Linked DNA regions of Drosophila melanogaster. The protein of the gene in region 2 interacts with the protein of the main gene of each other region in a pairwise test. Each region holds a gene or a part of one and is shown on either strand. Other genes may lie near its edges.

Evidence for each region.
Region 1: the proteins of wat (region 2) and CG11379 interact in a two-hybrid assay, tested with the Drosophila melanogaster proteins (one large-scale study listed by BioGRID).
Region 3: the proteins of wat (region 2) and CG16798 interact in a two-hybrid assay, tested with the Drosophila melanogaster proteins (one large-scale study listed by BioGRID).
Region 4: the proteins of wat (region 2) and cni interact in a two-hybrid assay, tested with the Drosophila melanogaster proteins (one large-scale study listed by BioGRID).

The regions. Positions count from the first base shown.
Region 1 is NC_004354.4:1,178,359-1,182,086, reverse strand, and holds CG11379 (uncharacterized protein), read right to left. Parts: upstream 1,923-3,728; 5' UTR 1,824-1,922; coding exon 1,218-1,823; 3' UTR 536-1,217; downstream 1-535.
Region 2 is NT_033777.3:29,017,407-29,022,333, forward strand, and holds the start of wat (waterproof), read right to left. Parts: upstream 3,001-4,927; 5' UTR 2,617-3,000; intron 1-2,616. UniProt on the Drosophila melanogaster protein: Catalyzes the reduction of saturated fatty acyl-CoA to fatty alcohols. The preferred substrates are C24:0 and C26:0. Necessary for the final stages of tracheal maturation, to facilitate the transition from water-filled to gas-filled tubes.
Region 3 is NT_033779.5:20,376,462-20,384,267, forward strand, and holds CG16798 (uncharacterized protein), read right to left. Parts: upstream 5,896-7,806; 5' UTR 5,472-5,895; coding exon 5,252-5,471; intron 3,132-5,251; coding exon 2,819-3,131; intron 2,517-2,818; coding exon 2,305-2,516; intron 2,184-2,304; coding exon 1,928-2,183; intron 1,817-1,927; coding exon 1,341-1,816; intron 1,131-1,340; coding exon 922-1,130; 3' UTR 520-921; downstream 1-519.
Region 4 is NT_033779.5:16,308,740-16,312,648, forward strand, and holds cni (cornichon), read right to left. Parts: upstream 1,988-3,909; 5' UTR 1,952-1,987; exon of another isoform or gene 1,902-1,951; 5' UTR 1,852-1,901; coding exon 1,702-1,851; intron 1,641-1,701; coding exon 1,528-1,640; intron 1,405-1,527; coding exon 1,261-1,404; intron 1,192-1,260; coding exon 1,164-1,191; 3' UTR 553-1,163; downstream 1-552. Other genes in the region: Syx5 (syntaxin 5), read left to right, coding at 1-392; fzy (fizzy), read left to right, coding at 2,362-2,673, 2,767-3,088, 3,142-3,909. UniProt on the Drosophila melanogaster protein: Acts as a cargo receptor necessary for the transportation of gurken (grk) to a transitional endoplasmic reticulum (tER) site and promotes its incorporation into coat protein complex II (COPII) vesicles.

The DNA.
Region 1 (3,728 bases), on a different chromosome or scaffold from region 2:
AAGAGAAAAGTTAAGGGATCGTGTTCATGAAAAATATTTGCGATAATATATTTTACTTGTTAACCCAAAGGATATTATAAAATAACATTTTGCTGCTTATACCCGAAGCTGATTTTCAGGACGCGAAGTGCATCCGAAATGGAAAAATTGTATCGTAAGCTGCACTTGTAACTGAACTATATCTGCTATAGCAGCTTAGTTAATTCTGCAACACGAAGGTCAGATATTTTGGAACACCTTTCGATTTTATTATAAGCACAGAAAAAAAAAGTATGCGTATTTCACCTCGCTGAATTTTCTCTGCGATTTGAGTTTGAATGCTGCCTGGGAGCGTGGAAAACACTTGCACTTTTCCTGGCGAGCGACGCGCTTTGATTAACACGGCTGCATTGCCAGCCAGGCTTTTATATCGCTCGACGACCCGACCAATTTCCCGCAATTGGCAACAGGCTGCGGCTGCAGTTTTAACCAGTGCGAAACACGACAGCGCGCCAGCAAGCAACAGCATTTGGCTGGCACTGCCTTGGAAGCATTTCAGCGGCATTGTTGCGTGTGCCAGGCTCTTGCATGTCGCTAGTTGCAAGTTGCAAGTTGCTAGTTGCCAGTTGCTATTTGCTAGTTGCCAGTTGCTGTTTGCCGTCGTGGTGTCCATCGCTTTTGGCTACGCTTCAAGTTCAAGTTTACAGCCATCGATCGCGCATCAGAGTAATGGTTTCGTTTTCGCTTTCGATCGACTTGCTTTGCTTTACTTTGAGCCGCTGGGTTCCGTCTTCCGAATCCGAAACCGAAACCGAATCGGTTGTTTGGGGGCGTGTCGCTTTTGGATCTCGGATCGGTCCTCTTCCGCATTGCATATGGGTACGGCTACGGCTAACGAGTTTACAAGTCTTTTTCGGGGGGATGACAGCCCCCAGTGGTTGGCAGTTTGGCCGGTAGTTGTCCGCTTCAAATTGGCTTCATGGATTCGGTCAGAAAGTGGTCTTGCGATTTAATATATGTTCGATTTTTGAGTTTATTTTTTTCTTAAAGAAGCTAAAAGAAACTACGCTTTGAATCGAAATTTACTATTATGGTTATTCATAATTCAATTTATGATGCAGCCCGTTGTGTCCCACTGTGCCTATTAAAACGCTTTTAGTATAATTTGAACCATAAATTTAGCTATTGACTGAGGTAGTGTGATATGGCTGTGGAAGTGGAATGGTCACCCCTCCGTCTCAATTGGCAAAGCTCTGTGCGCTTCCCTGGGATTGGGTCTGCATTGGAGTGCCGGGCTCGAGACTTCCGAAGATCAGCGCGGAGCAGCGGCGATGAAGGGTGCGACGCCAGTCGAGCATCCCGCAGCGGAGCTTCTGGGGCAACGCGGTGGCCCATAGGGAAAGCCACAGAAGACATGCGCCGATCAGGCCGGTAGTCAGGCCCAAAGTCCAGTACTCGCAGACCAGGAAGGTTTGCTCCTCGACGGCCAAGGCCTGGAGTATGCCCACAATGGCGCACTGGCAGAGGGACTCTATGCGATGCCACAGTTTGCTAAGGGTCAGATCCAGCACCAAACAGCAGACGCCTGTCTCCAGTAAGAGCGATGCCCAGGACGACTCATTGCCGCGAAGGTTTCGATTCCCATTCCTGAACCGCTGATCGGCGGGCAGGGCACTTGAAAACATCCTCACCCCGTGAAGAAGGGTCACCACGCAGGCGGAAAAGAGCCAGGCGCCCAAGAGAGGAGCAGCGGAGCCGGGAGATTCGCGAAAGTAGTAGTAGTACGAGATGCCCAGTACCGAGTGAAGCAACACCGCCATGATCAAGGCCATTAGTCGAGCCATCTCCAGATGTCCTCCTAGGTGTACACTTCCAGTTTTACGGGAGTAAATTCGGGTCAGAAAGCCTTAAACTGAATTATTCAACTGACTTTTAAAGCAGCAGTCACTACTTGGTTAACTCCGAACACTTGTGTACAAGTATTCCTTGTTATTTTAAGAAGTGATACAAAAAGCAAGTTGTAAACTCTGTTAAAGTTTTTAAAGGCAATATTTAATATATTCGATGTTATCTTTTCAATTTATAATTTATATATTATGATTTATACAGCATTCTTGCGTGGCAGAATACCCCATCGGTAATGGCATAGGTTTCCTCTTTGTGTAATCACAGTCACTGTCTGCGTCACAGTTGAAGTCACAGACACCGCGCCAATTGCAATTATCACCACAAGTCAAACAGGCTCAGATGTCAAGGCCTTGTTTTCCTCATTTTCAGTGGGCTCATTACGTGAGGCAAGTGGAAATGGGAAATGTGCTCGATAGTAGTCAGCTTACTTTCATTTTTGTTTCGGCCAAAGCTTTGCGGCTCCAACTTTTGGACTTTAAAGCTTGAGCATGATCATGGAGAAACTCATAGATAAGCTCTTCCAGATCTTTATATGTACAATAATATATATGTACGTCTGGTAAACCAAGATGATTTATAAAATGATTAGGCTGGTTGGCATGGAATAAAATTTCTTGCATGCACTTGCTCCGCACTGTTCTCTGCCGACATGACGTCCCAATCCTGGTGATGCTGCTCCGCTTGCTCTGTCAGCAAGTCATAAATCTTCGGCTTCAACTGAACTTGATACATCAAAATGTTGGTCAAATTAAATTTCTTGCGCCTCGTCCTTTCCCGCACAGCTCGCCCCCGCCCCGCCCGCTGCTCCTTGATTCTCCCAGGGATTTCACTAGGAGCAGCTGCCAAGTAATTCGTCAAGCTGCTTTGTCCTCCTCCAGCGGCTGTTCTTATCTCATCTCTGGGTGAGCATTGTTGCTCCGCTCCTCTGTGCTGTGCTGTGCTGTTCTGTACTGTTCATCTGTCTGACTCCACCACCTACCAATCTACCTACCGACCTACCACCCCCATCCCTGTATCCCTGTATCGCCCCGTTTTGGCTGGCTTTCATGTCAACTGCATTTTTCTTTTGCTGTGTTGCTTGTTGTGTGCTGTGCGCTTTTTCACTGCTTTAAACCACTTAATGGGTTTTTTTTATGTGGACCTGGGTTAGATGGAAAAGCGCAAGGAGTGGGAGGCGGCCTGGCGGTGCCTCGGGGCTATTCATGCTGCAGCTTTCTTGTAGCTTCATTCACAAAGACTTGCAATTCATCAAATCTCGTTAGCCTCGGCTTTTATAGAAAATCTGCAGCTGCTTTTGCTTCTGCTTTTCTTTTCGGGGTTTCGGGGGGCTGTGCTCCTCTCATTCATCTGCCACGCCCACGGACACGGAGTGGGCGTGGCCGAAGCTTCAGCACCGATTCGAATCCCCGTCCGCATCCGCTTTACCATTTCCAAACGGCATCCTATCCTCTGGGATCCTCTGTCATTATTGACTGGCAACGACTTTAAGGCAACTTTTGTTCCGCTCCCATGCGCTTAACTTTAAGGGCTTTACCTTCTCCACCTGAGCTGAGCTCCGATCCATGCTTCTTCCTTTGAGCTAATGAAAAGTGTGTGTCTCCCAAAATGGAGTGGAATCCTTGCAGCTGCAGCTTGCATCATCAGGCTCTCCCAGCGAATAGCTCGTCTAAATAAAAGTAAACCAAAGCTCTGCCAAGGAGCAACAATAAACGAGTTGGCCAATGCATTTTTAATGCAACCAACCACCCAACCACCTGTACAAATCCGTTAGGGAGGAATGGGGATGCTCTCGAGGTTCTCTAGGTAGCCTCAAAAATGTTTCCAGAATTGGGGCACATGTT
Region 2 (4,927 bases):
GCTCGGCTACTAAACAATTTAAATGAAGATGTTCCCAATTGGATTCATGGTCAGGCGGCCGATGAGTTATTTATGCATACTTAAACACGCCTGGAAAATGCAAGGCGAAGAGCGCCTTCGGATATCTTGGCCATTTGGACACTTGGCCGTTTGGCTGTTTGGCTGCTAATTCGCAGCAGAAGCAATATTCGCACATTTATCGATTGCAAATCAATTTCGTGCAATTGCACATCTCACGTAATGTCGGCCCCTCTTGGCCAGGTCGAAACGCAGTGGCTCTGGCTCTGGATTTGGCTTTGGACTTCGATTTGGATTCGGAATCGGCTTGGGCTTGGGCTTTAACTGGCTGCAATGCATCGCTGCCGGATTACCCCTCGATTAATGCTGCTTGCATACAAATTGGCGCATTTACGTTCGCCTTCACCTGCTATATGGGAATCTCGGGGGGTCTTCCCTATCCACAAGATACAGATACAGATACAGATACAGATACAGATACAGATAGAGGTGCAGATACAGATATAGATACAGACACGCGCCTGCACTCGTTAGCCAGAAGCCTGAAGCCTGAGGCGTTTGCCTTCCTTTTGGCATTCGGCAGGCAGTTGGCCAAATTGCATAAACAAAATCGCGCAGCGAAATGAAAAGTGCGCCAAGTGCGAAATATAAATTACACCGCGAGCATTCGCATGCAAATTCCGATTCGGATTTCAATTCGAAAACATTGTCGCACGTTGAAAGTGGTAAGTGGCAAGTGGCAAGTGTCTTTCGGTGCAATCCTAATCAGCATGACTGGCCCAGTGCCAGTCACACTGCAAATCCCATCGCATCCCATCCCAGTTATCCCATTCCATTCCCTGGGTGCTGGATAGAAATGGCAACGAGGCGAGGTGACAACATAAGCAGACTTTTCGCGGGATTTGTCAAATATTTGCGCAACGCTGCGCTTATCCATCCAAAAAAAAGAAAAGCACTAAATCTCTGGAAAGGGAGATCCAAAACTGCAGCACCGAGTCCCAAAAACCCAGGAACCCAAAAAAAAACCCCCTACCCCGCTTGCCCACTTTTTTGTGTGCGCTTTCACGCCTCTTGGAAGGCGGGCAAACTTTTATTATTATTTCATTTTTTTTATGTTCGCCGCGCCTCGCAAGTTCAAAAAGTTTAATGCTATTTGACTTTGATTCAATGTTTGCATTGTGCCCGGGCACATCATCGATTATTTTCCACTTGACGCCCCACCACGTCAGCCCACTGAACATGGAACATGGAACACCAGAGCCACCAGAGCCATCCGCCCACGGATCCCGAAGCGAACTCCCAACGAATCCCCATCCGCATCCGAACTGGAATACCAGTTGTTTGTGGTGGACAAATGAAATATGTTTGGCCGCATCAAAAAGCCCTGGCACTGAAAATTGATAAATTGCGAATTAATTGAATCGCTATGACATGAAGTTTAGCACTATTTTCTCGTCTCGCCTCAATTAAAGAGTTGGCTGGGTTTTTCCTGCACAGATACTTAGATACTTTAATTGCATCCTTGAGGCCCATTTAATTGTGGCACACAAATCGATTTTTTAAACTCTGTTTCATTTCAGCACGATATGATGATATTCTCATGCATATTTCATTGAATGCATTTCATTGCCATTTAAATTTGGCCAACGAAAGTATTTGTTGTATAAAGGGCTTGGGGGCGTCCACTCTTTAAATTCTTTATGAACTTTAATTTCCAAATTACATCGCTTAATTGAGTTCGGATTTTAAATGGCTTGTAAAGCTGAGGCAAATTGCACATTTCTGCGCAGCTGAAATATGATTTACGTAATATAATAATATTTAATGCAACACATTTTTATTGCGACATTTCACTGAAATGCGTATCTTCTAAATATTTAAAATCCTCTTCTGGCCTTTTAGTCTCTTTTACAAAAGGTATGTATATTTTTGTATATTTTTGAGCATCAAGTAATTTCTTTTATAGCCAGCACAGAACAATTAGTCACGGATTTGTAAAACCAAATGTCACAGATAATATTATTTATTCTGCCAAATTAGTGAGCTGCTAAGTGGGAATTTAAATATTGATCGAACTGCTCTTGATCCAGTAATGAATGTTTTTCCCAATCTAATCAATTATTTTTTGGGTTTGGCCATATATAAAATACGAATGAATGCAAACTTGTTTGAAATACACAAAGACCACGGGAGTAATATAATAATCCAACTGGCGATTATCGATTCTTTGGCAGCCGTAACTCTTTTGCCATTGCAATGGCAAAACAATGAGTTATTTCCCAATTGCCGAGTGGGTTTGTTTGTGTATTAAATTTGGGAAATTCAATGAAATTTCACACATTTTTTCGTGAATGCCTGTGTGCTGGCAATTGGCTATGAGCTCTTCGTCGGCCCCTCCTGCACCTGCGGAGCGAATCCAACCCGTTTTGGGTATTTGGGTATATGGGTATTTTTTTTAGAAAGCCATCAACGCCAGCTACATTACCACCACCACTACCTACAGTGCCTAGCATATACGTAATGGCATATGTCATACGATTACCAGGTATACGGATAGCAGAGCAGATTGTCTATAATCCCATGTAATTCAAGACTCACCGATTTGCTGGCTGCACAGGCACAGATCCCACGGCCACGGATTGGATTGGAGTGGCTTTCCGCAAATTGCTGGCTAATTGGAGGGCTCGTGGATCTGCCAAAACGAATCTTGCTCGCTGGCATACAGGGATATATCTCTTGGTTTTCTATCTTTTTCAGTTGCCACTTTCGAAATATATAAAAATTCTCTAACCAAACGCGCTTTACAACTGCAGCACGCGCTGTTGCACAAGAGTAGCGAAAAGAGCGATGCCAAATTGGTTGCAACAGGTGGAAAAACTGGGAGCGCACCGCGATCCGAACCGAATCGGTTTTGTATATCCAGCGAATTGAGTCCCGAGTTTGAAAACTAACTTTTGAAGTCGATGCGAGCGTTACGCGTTCCAGAACCGCGCTGCCAGGCAGACGAAAACAGACTCAGCTCGATTGAGGCTCGCAAAAACCACAACACCTGACGGCGGCTTCTCAGTCCGTGGATCGGCGCCGTTCAGCGGCTCGATGGTGGTGCGCTTGGCATCTCAGCGGCTCAGCGGTTTGGTGGCTCAGCGGCTCAGCGCCTCAGCGACGGTGGCGTCGACTGCGACGGCGACTGCGGCGTTTTGTGGGCGGTAAGCCAAACTTAAAAAAAAAATCAAGTCAAATTGAGTGGCGCAGTTTGGACTGGCGATTGAAGTGTACACATGTACATAGTCGTACTAACTTGCCGCACCTGAGCATCGCTTTCGGACACTGCCAGTGTTATGATCCAATTTTATGGAGCCTCGTAAAGCCGAAGCATTTGAGATATATTTGCGGTATATGTACATCGGACTTCACTTAAGCGCTGGTCACTTGGGTTAAAATAGCGCCGGTTACTTAGCTTACAGCTTGCCATTCATCCTATTAAATGGAGCATTTTGAAGGTTCCAAAGCATCTTTAATAAACAATTAACAAAACGTGCTGGTAATCAAAGATTACGCCAGTATCTTTTACAATTGCCTTATTCAGTTGAGTTTCAAAATTGAATATTCCCATACCCAATGTATACTAGTAGTTATCATTCCAACGAAGATGACGAATACTCAAAATATTAGCAAAGATTTCGAGATGAACTGTAAATATTACTCATACGCAGCGTGTACATATATCATATATTATGAGGCTCCATATAATTGAATACATAGCGATTGAATTTTCGGATTATCATTATGATTGTTAAGAAGTGCAAAATGATTAACCGAAAATGTATTGGATTACTTTGCATTATATGTATGTTCTTTTATCTTGTATAAAAAATTCCGTTGTTAATTAAGTGATGATAGCATATGATTATCATGCTGACCCCAAGTTGTGTCTGGTAAATAAAGTGATTACTAGATGAGATCTCTGAAACCGTGCTGGCTAATTAAAGACATTCGGCGAACCTGGACCCTGTCTTTATAGTTTGATCTGTCTGACAGGGCTGAACCCACACGGACCTCCGGCTCAGCTGACTCATCCTCGAGTGCAGTGCACATCCGCTCCATCCCTATACGAATCCCAATCGAAAACCCAGCCCAATTGGTATTCCTGCTCCGTTCGCCCGGAGACGTCGTTCGACGTAGTTCGCTCATAAATTTTGCATTTGCTGTGTGATTTTCCTTTTTAGACGCGACAAGATTTCACTGATTTCGCATATATCCCAGCATTTATAATATATTCGCCTGGGCCGAGTATTCTAAGTCGAGTTCAGTACTGTTCAGCTGTTCGGCTGGTAATCGCAGTGCCGCCATCAATCACGTAGTTCCCAGCATGTTTTGTCGCCGATCCCATCTGTATCTGTATCTTGACGCAGTATCTTCTCACACCAGAGCCAAGCTCAAAGAGTCTATAAACTCGAATATCTCTCGCACAAACGCTGTACGAAAACGAAACAAAAGGCCCATTAATGACAAATGCGAAATAACGAAATTAAAATAATAATATTCGCGATCAAGACACTGCATATTAATGGTGGCCCCATCAAAAGACACTCAAGTGCACACTTTTCAGGTATGATCCGATCTTGTTCAGCTCTGTTCAAACACTTGACAATGACATGATTCGCTTTTGATGTATAATTACTTCACTTTCGAGGTACAACGGCCTGCAGATTGTTTGATGCCTTTATTTATGCTGTGTAATTGCTTTGAAATGCCTCTTTACTTATGCAGATTTCGGGGCTCCATTATATAAAAAGTTACGATTTGTAGGCGGACAGTTTGCAATGAGCAAATAGGGCAACATTTACCCAGACAACTGAGTGTTACCTTTTTGAGTCAATACCTTGAAAATCTGATTTCTCGCCGATTT
Region 3 (7,806 bases), on a different chromosome or scaffold from region 2:
AACATCTTAGCATAATTTCGTAATTTTGTTTTACGACCAGAAGCCCAGACACATAACACGTTCGTAACCCTTGATGAAGTCGGTTAGAATGTACTTCCGAAATTATAGTCTGATGATGATGATGGCAGTGGGAACCCACTTTCGACTAGCTTCTTGGGCAGAAGTGGGAACTTCGTGGAGGAGTGCATCTATATCGGGAATCGACCTATTGACTGACTTTCATTTCCGCAGAATTTGAGTCAAATGTTTTGGGAAAGATTCGTTAGCGGAGATCATTCTGGGCCATGTATTTTTATGTATCTCGCTAAACTGCTATTTTCTCTTAACTATCCTATTCATTATAACTCAGCAGTGTCTGGTTGGCCTCGCTTTTTATGAGTCCCATTTGAAATTGTAGGTCAGGTTTTCAATTTGAAGTAGCATGTTAGTAATATGCAGTTAATAATCTTTTTGCATTTAGTTAGCTTCTAACACCCCTTCTAATTCAATCCAAACGTAATAAAATAAGCAATAAAATGTAGTAGCTATAATATGTATGTATTCTCGGGGCATAAATAATTTATACAAAATCTTATATCTAGGAGTCTACAGACTAATCTCGCTCTATGAGAAGTGCCATGCCCGCTCGTCCTCCTCGCGATCGCAGTTAAAGCTTGGCCAGAGCCGAAGTCGAGCTTATAATTATGTAAATCGGAGGATGCTTAACCCACTGGTACCGATGGGGCTTGAGTTGGAATCCGTTCAACCAGGGTCCGGATGGGGATGGGGGCGTGGCTATGCGCAGTCATCTTCAGCTAAATGCTGAAGTTTTCTTCCTCTCAAAACTTTGACATTCAGCAAGACAAGTGGGCATAGCTGAGTAGCTGGCGGAGGAAGGCGGAGGACGCGGCGGGACAGTCGGTGGAGCTGGGGCAGGGGCACCTACAAGGTGCACTGGTACTGCTGCTGCTGCAGTGCACGCGGCAACGTTTTGTGCGGCAGGTGGGCGGCCAGGCAGGGGGATGGGCTGCGGGGCGGAGAGCGGATCCGCTGGCGCTGCAGCAGAACGATGCAAATGCTGATGATTATCACAGATAGCGAGACGGTTACCAGCACGCTGCTAAGATGGGAGCCAATATAACGCAGAACGGCTGCACAGGAAGAAAAAAGGATATGGAAAAATCTATAGAAATATTTCAATAATAAAAAAGCAATTATATAGGTCATCAATTCGAGACTTTAATCTAACAAGAAATGTAAAGAATGTTATTCCTATAAATCACAACTAAAATATATTTTTCTAAATTTTCACAAGTTTATGGGCATTTAGGAATCACGATTGTCGCTGACAGGCCACTTACCTTCATTCTCGTCGCTACCACCTGATGGCGAGCCCACCTCCAACGGCATCCAGGAACTGTGGCTCTGGTCGACAACCAGTTTGGCGTACTTGGTGCCCACCACAGGCTCCAAGTGATGTTCCTCCGCCGGCTCATCGGCCAAACTGTTGACCTCGTTGAGGTTCAGAGCTCTGCCCTGACCTCTGGGCTGAGAAGCCTGCTCGGTGGTGGGCGTCGGGGCCTGTTCCACCACCGCAGCCTGTTCCACGGACTCCGAATCGGATTGGGACTCCCGCTGGGAGTCCGGTTCGCGAAGCACCAGCTCCGTCTTGTTGACGTAGCGCATCGGTCGGAGTTCCCTGCCCAGGCGTTGATCCTCGTCTGGCTCAAAGGGGTCGTTGGGCTCGTAGGCGGCGGCCACCCCGTTCTTTCCAGGTACAGTGAAGCTTGCTCGGACCGTCTGCATGCCTGAGTGGTAGCTGCAGACCACCACAAAGCTAGGATTCGAACAGAGGTTTGATAAAAATGATAAACCTCTTTAAAGGTGCCACACTGTACTACATATGTACTACATATTTGTAGAAAATAATAAATAGACTATATGTTACCGTCTTGTGCTGTGGGTAAATATGCCAAGGTTTTCCTGTACCGTGATGAAGGTCTCCACCGTGTTGGTCTCCGGTTTCACCAAGCTTCCACACTCTTTGTGATCGATCCTCATCGTGTACTTGTCCGCCGCATCGCTGGCATCGCCCTTGATCCCACAGTTTCCTCCATCCACGACGATGCGTCCTCCGAAGTACGGACCCGTCTCCACCTCGATCTCTGAGGCATGCGGCAAACACTGGGTGGCATGTGCGGTGACTGGTAAGTTTTGGAAAATATATACGTTTTGAAAAAGTACTACGTACGACGTTTTCAGTGCTTCAGCTTTTTACAAGCGTAAGTTGGTTGTAAACTTAAATAATACTTGGAAACCACTTACAGCCCTTGGTGGGTATGACGATGCTCTGGCCCGCCAGATGTCCGGATCCACTCTCGATCTCGTTGTTTTCATCGTGAAAGTCTGCCCGGGCATTGGAGCTGCGAGTTCCGCCCGCCTGGAGGCGCTTCTGAGCAGCCGGGCGAACGTGGAAACTGTATTTGGTGGCCATGCGCAAGTTGTCCACGGCAGCAACAAAGTGGTGCACCTGGGACCTACAAAGGCATTGAGTAAATGGTCTTAAACGTAACTTAACTTAATCGTATTCAGCTTTGCACTAAAAATTTGATCAACTATTTCCAGTTGAGCGGATGAGCTAGGAGTATAACTCTTTTATTACTTATATATCATTTTATTTAAGATTACGCGAATGTATTTGTATTTCTTTTGAAATATTTGCCTAAAGATATTTTCATTTTCTTCTGTTCGTTAAAGGCAAATCCAATTAAATTTCGAATTTAAAGTGCACCAACATTCTTACGAACTTTTGCATTTCCTAAATGGCAAAACCACTTACCCTGAGGGTTCATGCTTCTCCTGCTGATCCGTCGCCTTCTCATTCTCCTCCTGGGACACCTCGGCGGTGGTGCCATTCACCAATTTGACGCGACACCGCTGTGGGCCGTAGTTCTGCATCTCACAGTAGAATATCTGGAATGCCAGATCCCGGGGCGGTTCCACATCGCCGCTCATATTTGTCGCGTTCACCTGGTCCGCTCTGGAGTTGGAGTTGGGGCTCGAATCTGTGTCATGGGCCGACGGCACGAATTCAACTTCCCAGGTCAGATTCACCGATTTGTAATTTGGTTCACCGGCAACGCCGCGTATCTCTATCGAAGGTTACAAAAGCATGAGCATGGGCAGCAACGGGAAAACGGGGTTATAGCCAAGATTCGTGGCAGTGGCAATGGCAGTTGGTAGTTGGCAGTTGGTAGCTGTTGGTCTTGCATGCAAATCAGCCACCATGGTTAGTTACTTTGCTGCAAGAGCATAGGTTCGGGGCAAGGAACTCGTTTTCCGCCGCCTGAGCTTCAGACACGCTTTTGGATTAGTTCTGTTTCATTCGGTTGGTTTTTTGTGGACCCCACTAAGTGGTTGTTCCCACTGGCAGATCTGCAGAAGAAGATCTGAAGTGTGCTGCCAGTTGGAGTCACCAGCTCTGCACTTCCACTCCAGCTGCGAGTGATGGTGGATCTGGCTCGGAGTGTGACGTGAATTAGCCAAGGGGGGCAGGTAGTTAAGTCGGAATAAGAACTAGACCTGACGACGATGATGATGCTGGATGTTGCGGCTAAAGGGATGGTGCAACTTGGTACTTGGGCTTTAAATGCTACCAAGAACTTTGATTGAACGAGCTATAATGTAGTATTACATTTTCGAATCGCATTGATGCTGCACATTCTAATAAGAACGGAAATTATACCTTAGCATTAAAAGTCAGCAGCAACACAGCATAAAAGCTGAGAAAATAATGCATTTTACAAACTTAGCTTGCAAAAAACGCTTCCTCGAGATTCGTAACAATAAATCCCTGATCAATTATCCATTAATCACAACGTCGAGTCCCGGTAAATTTCCAATTTTCCGTGCCCACTTAGCCCCGATTTCCAGGCGATTTCCCAAGCCCGCCAGCTTGGGGACTTCTTCTGAGCCAGAACCTTGCATAATCTGCAATTAGAAATGCCAGTTGCCGAAGCTAGCTTGTTTGTGTTTGGCCATGTAGTGATGTTGCCAATGTTGCAGTTGTTGCAGCTTCGGGTGGCTGTCTTTACCATGCTTTTCCCATGTTGAAATCATTGACACCGATTTTGTGTGTGTCTGTGCATGGTAGCAGCAGCATTTTTAGGCGAATTTCGCACAGAGAACATGGAAAAGTGAAAAGTCTGCGATGGCACAAATTCTGAAATCGGGGCTACGGCTAGATGCCATTGCTGAGCCAAAATCCAGCAGAAAATTAATAAAAATGCGATGCAGAAATGAAAGACACTTCAATTGCAGCATCGCAATGATTAATGGTGCTTTTCGATCTTGGGAATTCTACTATCTATGACGGTGCACAAATTTTCGGTTAGGCCATATTTTCGTAGGCCGTCACTGCAGTGTTATGCAAGCCAGGAAGTGGAAGTGTCGATGAGACCCGACCAGAGATTCATTAATTTTCCATTGGCCACAGCCAGCGGGAAGTTCTGTAATACAAGATCGTCGGACAAATTGCCTTCAATCATCTGGCCAGATCAATCTTGATCTGTCACCGTATGGCGATGTAATTGCACCGCTTTAGCTAATTCGATTAGAGAGAGAACGGCCGAAACCTGTGTTTTGTGGCCAACAATTACTGGCATTTTGTCCCGGCCTAATGACACTTTTGCTCTCCATTGAAAATCTCTTTGCGATTTCCGCTCTGCGGCTCTGGGCGTGCCAGCCGCCCTCATTTAGCGGCCAAAAGGAAATGTCGACACATTTCCCGCGTGCCCACATGATTGGCACACGGTGCAGAAAAAGCTGGCCGCCGGGCAAGTTCGTTGTCTGAGTCTTTCGTTTGCCACCAAGGGCAGACGTAGGGAAAATACCACAAGGAACATAACTAGGTTCAGGGAAAAAAGCGCTTGATCGTGACCAAGTGCAATTAGCCAACATTCGACAAGAATAGGTAAACAGGAAAATCAACACGCTAAAAAATATTGTGTTCTAGTTAAATCTTAAAAAGGCTATTTGGAAAAATGTTTATGTTTCTATATAACATTGCGCAGCAGATGGAGTTTTCACGTAAGAAATCATATTTCTAATTTGCTTGCTGCTTATGTGCTGCTTACAAGGCAAATGAGAAACTAATATTTAAAGTTATTTTTTTCTGTGCAGCTGACATGCCTGCGACCGCAGACTTTTAGTAGCTGCAACTTTAACTGGCCCTGCGATTGTCTGAATTTATTCCTCGGCTCATAGGACTTACCATATTTGCTACCAGCCTTGGCATTGGCATTGCGGATTGCAGCAGTTGTTGCTGCTGTTGCGGTTGATTCGGTTGATGCGGTCGCTGCTGTTGTTGCTGCTGTTGCATTGTTGCTGCTGCTTTTGGGCAAGCGGACGGGGGAGACCGACGGCAGCAGGAGCAGAAGACACAGCAGCAACATGTTGCAGCTGCCGTGGGCTGCCATTGATTTCGTTGACATTATTTTCGGTAGATTTTTTTAAGTTTGCTGTTTGTTCTCATCAAATGTGTGTCAGCCGGGAGTTATATTGGGCGATTGGTCGTGAGGGAAAATGCAAGTGTTGCCAGGGGACCCAAATGTTTGACTTTAGATACTTTTTTTTTTCCAGTACTCGTTTTGTTTTATTTTATGTTATGCACTATTTGGTACGGCTCTCGCAGAACAATACCAGCTGATTGCCAAAAGCCACTTTTGTCCGCAAATAAATCGCATTTGTCACAACACAAAAAATCATAAATAGTACGAAAGCCGCAGCGTCCGAAGTTTTGGTACCGAATGTTCCGACACAAGAACCGCTCGCGTTAACCTGTGCGGCACAACTGAATCAGCGGGCCAAAGGCAGCCCAACATCTGGCCAATTCGGATCAGCTGTTGGCCATAAACGAAGCCGAAGTCTTAGTTAAAAAGCGAGCCAATGCCAAGGCCGAAAAGCAAAGCTTTCGCCGAAGCTTTCCGCTCTCTAGCGCTCTCTCTCCCATGAGAGATGGAAAATGTGAAAATGGCTTTTCCCTTATCAGCAGCCGCTTATCAGTTGACAAACAGCCAATTTTGCTGCTGTGCTTTCTTTTGTTACCAAAAGGCTACATTTAAAACCCATATATTGGGCCGAGCTTTTTCCATAATTAAACCAGCCGGGTTCCATAAATTTCATCGAACCGAGATCATCACTTTCCCTTTTCTCCGACTTCCAATGCGACTCCCATTGTCTTGTGGCTTTAGTTTGGCGTCTTTGTTGTTGATTTGCCCAGCTGGCGGCTTTGATTAATGCTTAATCAGCAATATTATTGTTATTAGGTTTCTATAGCGGGCCAGGCAGCATTTTCATAAATAATTTGCCAGTTACTTTGTGCCGAGCACAGTCAATTATAAGCTCGAACAAAAAGTTTCTCTGCCACAAAAGATGCTACAAAATAAATGAAAAGTGTACGCAACGAATGGCATAATGAAAATATATAATTAATTATTGGCACTCATTGCATAATTGAGGTCTTTTGATGAAGTGACCAGTGCGCAAACTTTTAAAGCCATCTACTTTTGTCTATCAGGTATTTATAAAAAAAAAAGGGATTGCTCTTTTAAATAATATTATGCCCTGAAGTTAGTTTATGTCTCAGAAAAGTGTCTAAAATGGAAATTTTATATTACTGTTGTGGTTATTTTTACGTAGAACTTCTTTGAAGTATTTTATATTACAGTCATTTGTCCTTCGAAAAAACACACGAGTCAACATCTTTATTAGAAGTAATTTGCTGCTTATCGCTTGAGCTTTAGCTCCATGATAAGGTAAACCATTTTATTGTATATGGCATAATTTCCATCGCTTCCGCTTCGGAAAAGGTTTTAACCCAGTGGCACGCATGGTAATTTCCTGTAATATATGTATGTATATAAGACCTTTTGTCCCTGGCCACCCATTAGTATGATAATTATCATTAATTATAATTAGACAGGTTAATATATGCGATGTGACATAAAGCCAGTACGTCTATTTTTAGGATGTCAAGGCCAGGGTTTCAAGAACAATTTGGTCCTAAATAAAAATTTCCTGGGCACCTGTAACGTCATGCTTCCCTAGGGCGACACGAAGAGGTATTCCAGGAGTATACTTACCGGACATAAATAATAAAACGGAACGCCCCAAAGCCACCAGAATGCCTCGAGTCCGTCACAGGAGTCGGAATCCCTCGACATTCGTGCGCACTTGGCAACACACATTCCACTAATTCCGTTAATTAAAAATTTAATGAGGCTCTGCGATCTAAATATACCACCGACACGAAGCCCAAACAATTGGAACACCTGTTGGCCACGTAAAATCCCTTGACGTGTTTCCCATGGGCAAAGGATTTCACCGAGGCAACAGAAGAGGGATTTTGGGTCTCAAATTGAAATGTGTTTTCCTTAAAATCAGTATATAAATATAAATGGGTATCGGAAAATCGAAAGCGTTTTCCTCACACTTCTCATTTGTTTTTTTTTTTTGTTTTGTTGTCTGCCTGAAAGTAGGCAGCAAAAGTCTTTCCTGCGCAGCGCATAATTGAGTGGCGGCCATCATTGTCGTCGCCACAGTAAACTGATTTGCATACCGCCGCCGAGTCCAAGTCCCGTTCTCGGATCCATTCTGTCATTCGCTTGGCATGGGGCTCATGTCATTAGGACGAGAAGCCAGCGCGTGACACACGCGGCGTATGCGCAACGCCTTTCGTGGCTTGCGGGACAAGAGCTGCCCTTTTGACCTTATTCGGGTATGTTTGCACTTCCTGAAAGGGACATTCTATACGGAAATCGTTTCTCG
Region 4 (3,909 bases), on a different chromosome or scaffold from region 2:
GATCTTTGCTTCTCAGCGAGGAAAACCAAGCGGTCAGCATAGATATGGGGAGCAGCGATACCACACCACTCCTATCAACCCAGACACAGATGGCCATCTACGATGATTCCGATAATTACGTCCAGCAGCGGGCGGAGACCATGCAAAATATAGAATCTACCATCGTTGAGCTCGGCGGAATATTCCAGCAGCTGGCACATATGGTTAAGGAGCAGGAAGAGATCGTGGAGCGTATTGACACGAATGTGGCGGATGCGGAATTGAATATTGAGGCTGCCCATGGGGAGATCTTGAAATACTTTCAATCCGTCTCCAAAAATCGCTGGCTGATGATCAAAATCTTCGGCGTTCTCATATTCTTCTTCTTGTTCTTCGTTGTTTTTATGTCGTAATCAAACGCCAGTTGCCCATTAAAAGCCCCATGTACCTATCCATGTATACAGCTTTTTATTTTAATCAAGATTCAATCACAATATTGTTTATTCCAAGCTGTGGCCTCCCGAAACGATTGTAAAATAAAGTTATAAATACGTTCTAAAGCAAAATACATTTATTTTAGCATGTGGTTCTTTGGTGAATTTTTCCATTCTAATGGAAGCTCTAAAATTAAATATAATTTCCAAAATATAAAGCCGAATGATAAATATGTTTGCTGATGTAAGAAACTTGTATATTACCTTAGAAAACGTGTAATGCAAGTATCAAATTGGAGAGAGACTATATCTATGTTTGCCCTGCTGATAAGGTTTAAGTGCCCTTTCATAATCTTTATTATCTTAAGTGCTCGTTGCTCCATGTTCGTCGTGTTTAGCCAAAAATTCCGCTGTCCCTCATGCTAAACAGAAAAATGAAAATTGGTTACATTGATTTGACTTTTATTTAATGCTTAAAATCCAACTACACCAAAGATGCGATATGCAAAAAATAATCAAAATAAAAACATGTTACAATCTCTTACTGCAGAAAAGTATTACAAATTGTATGAAAAAAACAAAGCTTCAAGATGTCTTTATGGATTTACACTAGAATTTACAAGTGAAGTATTGTTCGCGGTTGATGGGGACTCTTCCCCAAAAAAGGAAGTCCTCTACCCGAGTTTAGACAACTAATACACGACGCTGATGCGTTGGCGCCAACACTGAGATCCCCAGGCAAGAGCTTGCCTATGTCGAGATGAGCGAATAAACCATGCTAAAATTAGCAATTAGAAACGTTAGACAAATGAGGACCCTGGCCACAATGAATCTCAATTAGACTTACCCGTATATGTAGTAGAAGAAGCTAATCAGATAGACGGCCAGTTTAATCCAACCCTCACGCATGTTCCGGTACAAAGTATCGGTTTTCAGGACCGTGGTGGGATCATAAAGTCCGGGTCCCGACATCACAGGGCGGTTTTTGTAACTGAAAGCGATAGGGGTATTACAAAGCATGAGTGCTTAAGGGTGCTTATGTTGGGCTTGGGTGAATCTTGATCTCCTCGGATCTCAAATCACATTATATCACACGGTCAAATGAGTCACTTACCGCCAAATATGATAGGCTATGAGGGGTATGTTGATGCATAGCGAAAACCATTCGCCGCAGAACAAGAAGAGCAAGTTCAGAAAGATGTGCAGAAGGTATTCGGGCAAAACCAGCTGAAATGCAAACACATACATTACAGGGCGCACTGCGGGTGTAAGCAGTAAGTTTACTGACCGGATTGAGGCTATTGCACTGATCAATTGGGTTCTTATAATCCGTTTTAAGTTCGTCGAATGCAATGACATGAAATATGGCGAAAAATATCAAGAATGCATCCCCGATCAGGGCCACTATGTACGTGAAGGCGGTGAAGTTGAAGGCCATCTTGTAAAATCGCTGGAGCACGTCTTCCAGGTGCTAATCAAAGTGACTTGCTAATTATTATCGTAAAATTCGGCTTTGCAATTGTAGCGCTGGGACTCACTTGTTTTTTTTTTACAAGGGCGGCGATGATGACAGCTGTGCGCCAGGGATGCACTAATCTAAACGATCAGGCAGCACAGATGTACGGTCACATTGCAAATGAGGCTAATAAATAATCAGCTATCCATTATAAATCAAATATAATTTCATTTAAAGAAGCAATTTTAATTTCTAACGAATTATAATGTTTTGTATTAATTTTAATTCTCTGGTAATTTTCTCTACGCACAAAAAATACCACTAACAGTTAGCCGATGCGGTCACACTACATTTCCAAATCGAACCGCCATTTGTGTTGCATCTCGAAATCTGGAAAAAATTCGATCCAAGTGTTCTATGAGCTTCTGTTTTTTAATAATAATAAATAAATAAATTCGATAATCAACTGACACCAGAAAAGAGCGGAACACAATGTCGCAGTTCAATTTTGTGAGCGATTTGCAGAATGCTCTCATCATGGACGGCGAGACGCGCGGACCTGCGCCCAGGTGGAAGAAGAAGCTGGAGGCGTCTCTAAATGGAAGTGTGAATACCACTCGGTCGGTGCTATCCGTCTCGTACAACACCAGTTTCTCGGGTGTCCAGGCGCCCACGAAAACTCCGGGCAAGAGCAGCGAGGGCAAGACCAAGAAGTCCAACACCACGCCCTCTAAGACGCCAGGAGGCGGAGATCGCTTTATTCCGAATCGGGCGGCTACCAACTTTGAGTTAGCACACTTTCTGGTAAGGATTCCACTCATCCCTCCATCCCGCCCTGTAAGGGCATCCTTATTCCAGACCCCTTAAGAATTTATTGACCACCTGACCATCTATTAGGTGAACAAAGACTCCGGCGATAAGTCCGATGAGGAGAACGACAAGGCCACCTCGAGCAACAGCAACGAGAGCAATGTCCAGGCTTCGGCTCACAAGGGCGACCGGCAGAAACTCATCTCTGAAGTGGCCCAGGTCGGTGACTCCAAGGGCGGGCGCATTTTGTGCTACCAAAACAAGGCTCCCGCTGCTCCAGAAACACACAACAATCCCCTGAAGGTCGTGTACTCCATTAAGACACCCATATCCACAAAGAGTGGCTCACGCTATATACCCACCACATCCGAGAGGATTCTGGATGCACCTGATTTTATTAACGATTACTGTAGGTCGAAGAAAACTTTTCTTTTCTTTTTTTCTACTATTGATCTCTTCCAGATTTAAATCTTATGGATTGGAGTGCCGACAATATAGTGGCTGTGGCCTTGGGCAGTTGCGTCTATTTGTGGAACGCACAGACCGGAAATATCGAGCAGCTTACGGAGTTTGAGGAGGGCGACTACGCAGGCTCGCTATCGTGGATCCAGGAGGGGCAGATACTTGCCATCGGCAACAGCACCGGTGCCGTGGAGCTGTGGGACTGCTCCAAAGTGAAGCGTCTGCGAGTGATGGATGGACACAGTGCCCGAGTGGGATCCTTGGCCTGGAACTCATTCCTGGTTTCCTCTGGCAGCCGGGATGGCACCATTGTCCACCACGATGTGCGTGCACGTGAGCACAAGCTTTCCACATTGTCCGGACACACGCAGGAGGTTTGCGGCCTAAAGTGGTCCACGGATTTCAAGTATTTGGCTAGCGGAGGCAACGACAATCTGGTGAATGTTTGGTCGGCGGCCAGCGGTGGCGTGGGAACTGCCACCGATCCCTTGCACAAATTCAACGACCATCAAGCTGCAGTGCGTGCCTTGGCCTGGTGTCCCTGGCAACCAAGTACTCTAGCCTCTGGAGGCGGCACCGCCGATCGCTGCATCAAGTTCTGGAATGTGAACAATGGCACTTTAATGAAATCCGTGGACTCCAAGTCGCAGGTCTGTTCTCTGCTCTTTTCTCGCCACTACAAGGAGCTGATCTCTGCGCATGGTTTTGCTAACAACCAACTGACCATTTGGAAATACCCAACAATGGTGAAGCAAGCCGATTTGACTG